2 linked regions of the Bombyx mori genome follow. The protein of the gene in region 1 purifies or fractionates together with the protein of each later gene. This does not show direct contact. Links are inferred from orthologs where the notes say so. Each region holds a gene or a part of one and is shown on either strand. Other genes may lie near its edges. The genes, in order: mitochondrial import inner membrane translocase subunit TIM50-C and histone deacetylase 6.

Region 1 (4,599 bases):
TGGGTTTACCTAAAATAAACATTAGATCGTGCAAACCATAGATTATACACTTAATATATAGTGCAAACTGCAAATTGCAAAGTAGTTTTTTTTAAAGGATTTTATGATCTGGTAACTAGGACTTTTAAGTCATGTCTTATTTTAATTCATATTCTTATTTTTATGAAAAATGATAATAATATGAAATGGAATGAAGATGATTAATTTGAGACGTTAATCAACTGGAATGAAATTAAATGAAATGAGATGAGATGATATGGAATGAAATGTAATTTCAGTAAAATGGTAGTCATTTACTGACATTTTTGTTGTGAAACATCTATAGCCGCACGTAAAACCGATTGCTGGCGTGGCGACGCATGCCGTAGCGACGCGTCGCCACGCTATATGATGATATATATATAGTGTCTATATGCAGTAGTGTGTATGGTGTGGCGACACGTCGCCATGCGCAATCGACTGTGCGATTCTCTCCCACTCGATCCGGCGTTAAGCCATCTCTCTCGCTACACTGAGCTCGGATACCTATAGTGTATACTCTGTAGTGTATACAGTGTCATTTTTTGTTTACTACAGTACACATAACCTGTGTTTTACTTGAAAACAAATTATTTTTTCGTAACATTTTATTTTATCATTATGACATATTTAGTTCCTGTCACAATCTGTTCTTTTCTGCATATTACTTTTACAACATAATGTCGAAGTTTCACATCTGCCAGGCGTCCCGTGACGGCTCACATTTTTTTTTTCAGTGGACTTTTTGGAGGATCTCGAGAAGCTACGTCCAGCGGCTTTGTTTCATTTTCCCACATTTCTGCACTTTCACAGATATTAAACACTTAATAAGCCACCGTTATTACACATTTAAACCTCAAGAAACACTAAATAGACAAAATAAAACAAATCACACAACTTCACTCCTCGCGTTCCCGCCAAAAAGTCTCTTAGAGTAATGTTTTTTTTTTAAGGGATTTTATGACCTGGTAACTAAGACTTTTAGGCCAAGTCTTATTTTAATTTTAATGATACGTAACTTTTTTATATGAAAATGATATTTTGAAATGAAATGAAGTTGAAACAGCATGAAGTGAAATGAAAACGAAATGAAATGACATGAGATGAAGTATAATCTCAGCAAAATGGTGGTCATTTACTGAGATTTTTTCAGTGGAATTTTTGGGAGGATCCCGAGAAGTTACGTCCAGCGGCTTCGTTTCATTTTCCCACATTTGTGCACTTTTACAGATATAAAATAGTTAATAAACCAACGTTATTACACATTTAAACCTGAAGAAACACTAAATAAACAAAATAAAACAAATCACACAACTTCACTCCTCGCGTACCCGCCAAAAAGTCCTTGAGTAATGTTTTTTTAAGGGATTTGATGACCTGGTAACTGAGATCTTTAAGTCATGTCTTATTTTAATGTATATTCATATTTTTATGAAAAATGATATCATAGTGTGAAATGAAATGAAGATGATTAATTTGAGATATTAATCAACTGGGATGAAATAAATGAGATGATATGAGATGAAATATAATCTCAGTAAAATGGTGGTCATTTACTAAGATTTTTTCAGTGGACTTTTTGGAGGATCCCGAGAAGTTACGTCCAGCGGCTTTGTTTCATTTTCCCACATTTGTGCACTTTCACAGATATTAAACAGTTAATAAACCACCATTATTACACATTTAAACCCGAAGAAACACTAAATAGACAAAATAAAACAAATCACACAACTTCACTCCTCGTGTTCCCGCCAAAAAGTCTCCTTGAGTAGTGTGATGTGATCTGCTGCATAGATTATACACTAATCTACTGTTTAGTTTTATTTGCTCGGTTGTGTGTTAGTGAAGTTTCTCAATGCGGATTTTTTTATTACATTGAAATGTATTTCAGGAAATTATTATTTCTGACAAAAACCGCGTGTTGTAAATCTTTAAAGCTAGAGACAAAATGCCACTCAAGACAAAACATTTGGATAATAGCAGCGAATTCGCCAAAATTTTATTCAAATCAAAATTTAGGTTAGTTTTCATTTCCCATAGTTCATAAATTCAGTACGACTTTTTATTACATTGATTTTTTCATGTATTTACAATAAACAAATATGTTGGATGAACAATTTTACGTCATTATTAAATTGAACCCACTAACATCATAGCTTTGTTGACAATACTACACAAGTCAAATCAGTGTAGAAAATGTTTTTTTAGCTATTTACAAAAGCATTACATGTTTGTCAAAATCCGTTTTATATTTATTCAGCTTCTGTCACCTATAAAACAAATAGAATTCTACATTGCCTTATAATATGTACTTTGAAAATAAATAAGTAATAATATAACTTTGATAAATAAAATGCTTTCTTATTGTTAATACAAATTTACAGATGATAGAAGTAAAGATGATAAACCTGAAAAAGTAGATATCTTAGGGAGGTTCTTCCCGCAAGCCCCACAGACACAGGTTGATGCACAGCAGATTAAAAAAGAACAAGAACGTTTTGAGCAAGAAAACAAAGAGAAAACTGAAGAAAATGAAAAAAGTTGGAGAAGAATGAAATTAGGGTAATGTAGTTAACACCAAATTCTTCACAAGCTCCTAAACTTATTTGAACCACTTGAATAAGATGCAGTTTATCTCTTATTTTATTATTTCTTAATTTTCAACCAGCTCTTCAGATATATAACGAAAAATGAAGGGTGTTTTATATTTATGTGGTGTATTATTAGGCGTTATTTATTAACATTTCACTAATACATACAAACATACCTACCGTCTAACTATTTATAAAAATATTTAATGTTTTTTAGGACAAAGAAATTAGAATAGTATAGAAAGGTATCTTGAGATCTGATATTTTACTGACTTTAATTTTCATCTTCACAATAAGAGGAGCTAGATATGCATCAACTATGGCTTCTCGATATAGTCTATAGGTACTAAACATAGTCTCAATGAAAGTTATTTCAATGCCATTGACTGATTATTTTTGCACTTGCAACATGCTCTTTGACTCAGAAATGTACCTCTTAGTCTGTCCTGTGTATGTATGTAAGTATCAATAACAGTACATATAGAGGGGGGAAATGTTATTAGATTTAAGCAACATTTTTGTAACTTTACAGGAGAGCCATGTAAAGCTTAAAACTTGGAAAAAATATGAATAAATATCTTCAGCTATTTGAATAGAGTAAACTGAATTAAAGTTCTATTAAAAACATTGAACTGTTAATACTAATACCAAATAAAATGTACCTTTAATTACAAAGATAAAGGTCGCGTATTAAGCATAATGTCGCTTAGACCAAATAACCTTTTACCCCTCTGTATATATTTCCTATACATAAATAAAAACAAAGCTTCCAATCAACTTTGGAATTTAAAGTGAAACAGAATAAAATAAAAATAATGTTAAATGTTTAGTTTTGCAGTTTTTGGTGGTGGTCTCACAGTAGCAGCGACCTGCCTTGTCATAGAGATGGGCTCACCCCGACGGGATGATGAGGGTCAAATAATAGAGGATGAATTTTCACATCTTCCCATTGTCTTTCAATACCTGAGACGTTCCTGGAAAGAACTCACATTTTATGAAAAGGTAATAAAAATAATTTTATTTATGCATTATTGATATATGCATTTAATTTGAGCACTTAATTTGAAACAATTGGTAGTCAAATATTAAAATGATGATAGTTAAAATAACACCAGAACATTATAAAATTCTTTTGCACTAAAAACGTTTTTAGTGCAAAAATATTTGCCTAATATCCTATCACAGATCATATTATGCAGTTTTAATTGGAATTCAAAGAGGCCACTATTGGCCTATGGTTGAGGTTTAGATTTTATATTGTTACATTCTAAGGAATATGGGATTGGAGATATTGTAAAACTCATAGAAACAGAATATTTTGTTATTATAGATGATAAAGGAGCCATCAAGAGAGAAATTACTTCCAGACCCTTTGCCTCCACCGTACCAGCCTACATACACTCTAGTCTTAGAATTCACAGATGTCCTGGTGCATCCTGATTGGTCTTACCAAACGGGCTGGAGGTCAGTACTATCCCTGCCATGAACATGGCATGGACAACAACAATACTTTAAGAATTAATTAAAGGGGGTCTTAATTTATTTAAAATGATTCTTTAATCATTAATTTTGGTAAAGAATACATTATTCATTGCTTTTGGTGTTGGCCTAGAGCAGCACCTCACTCTCTGTTCTCGTGGGTGTCAAAAGAAGTGAAGATTCCAAGGAGAATGGACGGCAACGTTCTCTGAGTACTACTGCGCCGCACTGAGCCAACTGACCGACATTTGCCACCACGGCTACGACTGTGCTGCCTATTCTTACAGCGAAGCAATCACGCGGTCCGGTTTGAGGACAGACAATTGAGATGTTGACCTCGTATTTTGTGGTCGATGATGGCCTTTTTTTGGCAGCAGTATTGTTGATGATCCAATCACACAAATAGGTTACTTTATGATCCACGGAGGTTGAGTTTAAAGTGCATCTTATGGTGAATGGTCACCAAATTATATGATCTATGATTAATTCGTAGTTAATTTTGTTTCCAAGT
Region 2 (3,830 bases), on another chromosome or scaffold:
CGTGCAAGATAAGAGTCGTAAACAACATCGTCCCACCACGATACCTTGCTATTTTTATAGCATTATACGCTCCGTTGTTGTCTCTCGAGCTCAGAAGCGAGCGAGTCGCCGTATCAGACGGAACGCTCCTGCGTAATATACGCTCCGAGTTAACATTTCTAGACCGCCCGCTTACCATGTCGCTACCCCAAAGTAGAAATACTCCAACATGTATAGCTATGTTGTATTTACATATCCATGGGTGAAAGGCTATGACAGTTCGCTTAATACGCGACATTTATATTTATAATTAAAGGTACGTTTTATTTGGTATTTGCATCATGAGTTCGATGTTTTTAATTGAACTTCAATTAAGTTTACTCCATTGAAATAGCTGAAGAAGTGTTTTTTTGTTATGATATTTTGAGTGTAATGTTGCGAAAATTTCGCTTAAACCAAACATTTAACTTTGTGAAAACAAAATGTAAATTAGATTGTATATTAAAACTTCTCTCTTCCGTGTCCGTCTTTTAATGATGAAATATGTGTAATTGATGTTACTTGGCGTTTGCCAGTATGCTTATACTCACCACAAATATTTGAAGGCCTTAGAAGTTGAAACAAAAGCTCGGCGGGGCCGATTTGGCACTTCCGCATCTATGATTCAAAGCCCGATATCAATTAGCTTACCGCTTCTGTGTCTGTGGTACAGAGCACGCACGAGTTGGCGCTGATATCGGCCGGCTCGACCATCGACATGGTGGACAGCATCGTGTCGGGTGAAGTCCAGAACGGCGCGGCCTTCGTGCGGCCGCCGGGACACCACGCCATGCACTCGGAGCCCTGCGGCTACTGCTTCTACAACAACGTCGCTTTGGCCGCCAAGCACGCCTTGGACAAAAGGGGTCTGCAAAGGTCAGTGAGGCTTACAGACTCGACACGGTATGGGGGTAGTTGAAGATTATGTGAAGTGCACAGTACTACTGGTGGTAGGACCTCTTGTGAGTCCGCACGGGTAGGTACCACCACCCTGCCTATTTCTGCCGTGAAGCAGTAATGCGTTTCGGTTTGAAGGGCGGTCTATCTAATTTTAATTAATATTTTTTTCTCTGAACTACTGTAATTTTTGTATATACTGTAGCATCGACAAACTCTAAGGCTTTGGAGCCATTTTCTTATATAAAAAAAAAGTTCTAGGGCTGAAAAAATTAAAATTATTGAAAGTTAAAAAAATAACGATTTAATAGGATACTGATCGTGGACTGGGACGTTCACCACGGACAAGCCACACAGCAGATGTTCTACGACGATCCCAGGTATACACTTACTTAGTCTTATTAAGCCATTTTTATTTCTTTTTTCAGCGTGGCAAATGGCATTTTAGCCACAGTGGAGTTAAGTTTTAAATAAAGCCCAAAAATATCCAAAAATCATGTTCGTTTGAGATTTAGATTTTTACTTTTGGTATGCCGGAATCGAGAGTAAAATTCAATTTTATTTATTAACATTAAAATATACCTAATGAAATGGCGGGAAATTTACCGAGTGTGACATGGGCTTTTTGGTGAACACGGAAAGTTCGAAAATCTGTTTCTCACAAGAACGTCAGCGATAGCATTTGACAATAGATTTTATTAATTAATACGTGAAGCAAAAGCTTTGTATCCCTTTTTACGAAAATTGCGCGGACGGAGGAGTATAGAATTTCCCACACTTATAGAGAATATAGAGAAGGAGTGCAGAAAGCAATTTTTTTTTTAAATTATGCATTATTAATACATTAAATCAATAAAAAAACATTACACACACTACCATGTATTTGACACACACACCTATGTAGAGTCATTGTCAAACTTTTGTTATTTGTTATTGCATAAAGTCTGTGTTCAAATTGAAAATAAGTTTATAATATTGTTTGTCTTTAATATTATTTGCTTAGAGTGTAGTATTGGCGAAATCAGTGATTATAGAAGTAAAATAGTATTTGATGATAGAACCATAATAATATACAAACTTATGATTTTAATTAATTATAGTCGAATTTCGACTACTGCGGGACCACTAGTTTTATTAATTTCTTGACGAAAAATACATCGTATCGTTAATCCACTGGGACGATTCCAGAGTGGTATACTTCTCGATACACCGCTACGAGCACGGCTCGTTCTGGCCCCAGCTGCGACAGTCCGACTTCCACTACGTCGGCAGCGGCGCCGGTAAAGGATACAATTTCAATGTGCCCCTCAACAAAACCGGGATGAAAGACGGAGACTATTTGGCCATCTGGCACCAGCTGCTTCTGCCCATGGCCTACGAGGTTAGTTAAGTGTCCATCGCACCGACCCTCTCCTGAGTTGCCTTTACTCAGACATATCAGAAATCTAATGGGTTATGTCAGCGCTATGACATGTCCTTCTTCAAACTAGGCTTGTAGAGAGTACTTTACAGTAGGCTGCAGGTTCGCTCTGCCCCTGGCATTGCTGACGTCCATGGGCGACGGCAACTACTCACCATCAGGTGGGCCATATGCTCGTCTGCCTACAAGGGCAATAAAAAAATGTTTTAGGTTTCACGTTGAACTTTTCCAACGACTTTGACCTATGGCAAAGCTGTTGCTAGTGGTAGAACTAATGGCGTCCAATAGCACTGACAGTGTCCAGAATCCATCTGACTAGGGTATTGACCGTGGCTAACTGCTGCATGAGCCGGGTGAGGTCATAGATTCTTTCAAGTTGACTTTCATAATACTTGAACTTATCGGTACTCAAAGGTTCCGAATGTCACCACACTCAAAGTGACCTAACAATCAGCTGACGCGAAGGTCGAGGACCTCACCCGTCGCGGAAGGTTTTACCTCGCCTATAACGACAATGTGTGATATGTTTTTTTTTTAAATAAAATTTTCTCTCAATCATACAGTACCAGCCGGAGTTGATCATAGTATCTGCAGGATACGACGCGGCCATCGGATGTCCCGAGGTACAATGATCTGATTACGCATGTTGTTGATCTATTTCAGTTCGCGCCCCAACTTGTAATAGTTTCGGCTGGTTACGATTCGGCCTTAGGAGATGAAAAGGTTCGATTTTAAACTCTCTCTCTGTGATTTATGAATTGTCATCCATGCCATTAACAATGCTTATAAACTGCCAATTGGAATTGAAATGACGCCTCAGTTATCTTTAAGCATGAGTTTCGGAAAATTAATGCTTTAAATTGCTGTTTTCCAAAAGGTTTGGTACTTAAATTTCTATTATGCAAATTAAAATCAACGGAATGAGGACAATTTTTGAATTGAGATTTAATTGAGAACAGGCGCTGGCCGTCCGGGGTGTTCATATTGAATCTTGTTTTTGAAAGTACACTTAAACTAAATATAATTTTGTTTTGAAGTGAAACTTCTTTAGGCGCGTTGGGAGTAAAATGTAACTCGCGACAGATTCGTTGCGGATAGAGAGAAAAGATACGATTTAGAAAGAGCGAGAGTGAGAAAATAGACAAAGCGCCTCGCGAACCATTTGACCGTGAAGAGGCAATAGGACAAAACGGGCTAGATCGTTTCTCTTATACACAGCATTCTCTATTACAAGAAAAATTTATTTAAGGATGAAAAATTAAGAAAATCAAAGTACACCGCAAAAGAAGTGTCACTTCTTTCACGTGCACCAAGCTGCACGTGCACCATTTTTTTACACCTTGGGTTTCATTGTTGGAGTTTTAGTAAAGGTCCCTAATTTTTTTCAAAAAAGATTACAGCCTATGTCACTCGGGAATAATGTAGCTTCCAAACAGTGAAAGATTTTTTCAAACCGGTTCAGTAGTTTCAGAGCCTGTTCATTACAAACAAACAA

What was found.
Region 2: the proteins of mitochondrial import inner membrane translocase subunit TIM50-C (region 1) and histone deacetylase 6 purify together in Homo sapiens (affinity purification with mass spectrometry; 3 studies listed by BioGRID and IntAct, counting the BioPlex papers as one, with this or other methods). This does not show direct contact. The link is inferred for Bombyx mori from reciprocal best matches to the Homo sapiens genes TIMM50 and HDAC6.

The regions. Positions count from the first base shown.
Region 1 is NC_085127.1:1,724,951-1,729,549, forward strand, and holds the start of mitochondrial import inner membrane translocase subunit TIM50-C, read left to right. Parts: upstream 1-1,758; 5' UTR 1,759-1,898; coding exon 1,899-2,037; intron 2,038-2,402; coding exon 2,403-2,580; intron 2,581-3,439; coding exon 3,440-3,611; intron 3,612-3,939; coding exon 3,940-4,073; intron 4,074-4,599. UniProt on the Homo sapiens protein: Essential component of the TIM23 complex, a complex that mediates the translocation of transit peptide-containing proteins across the mitochondrial inner membrane. Has some phosphatase activity in vitro; however such activity may not be relevant in vivo.
Region 2 is NC_085111.1:17,643,070-17,646,899, forward strand, and holds part of histone deacetylase 6, read left to right. Parts: intron 1-691; coding exon 692-894; intron 895-1,226; coding exon 1,227-1,295; intron 1,296-2,103; coding exon 2,104-2,296; intron 2,297-2,898; coding exon of another isoform or gene 2,899-2,958; intron 2,959-2,998; coding exon 2,999-3,058; intron 3,059-3,830.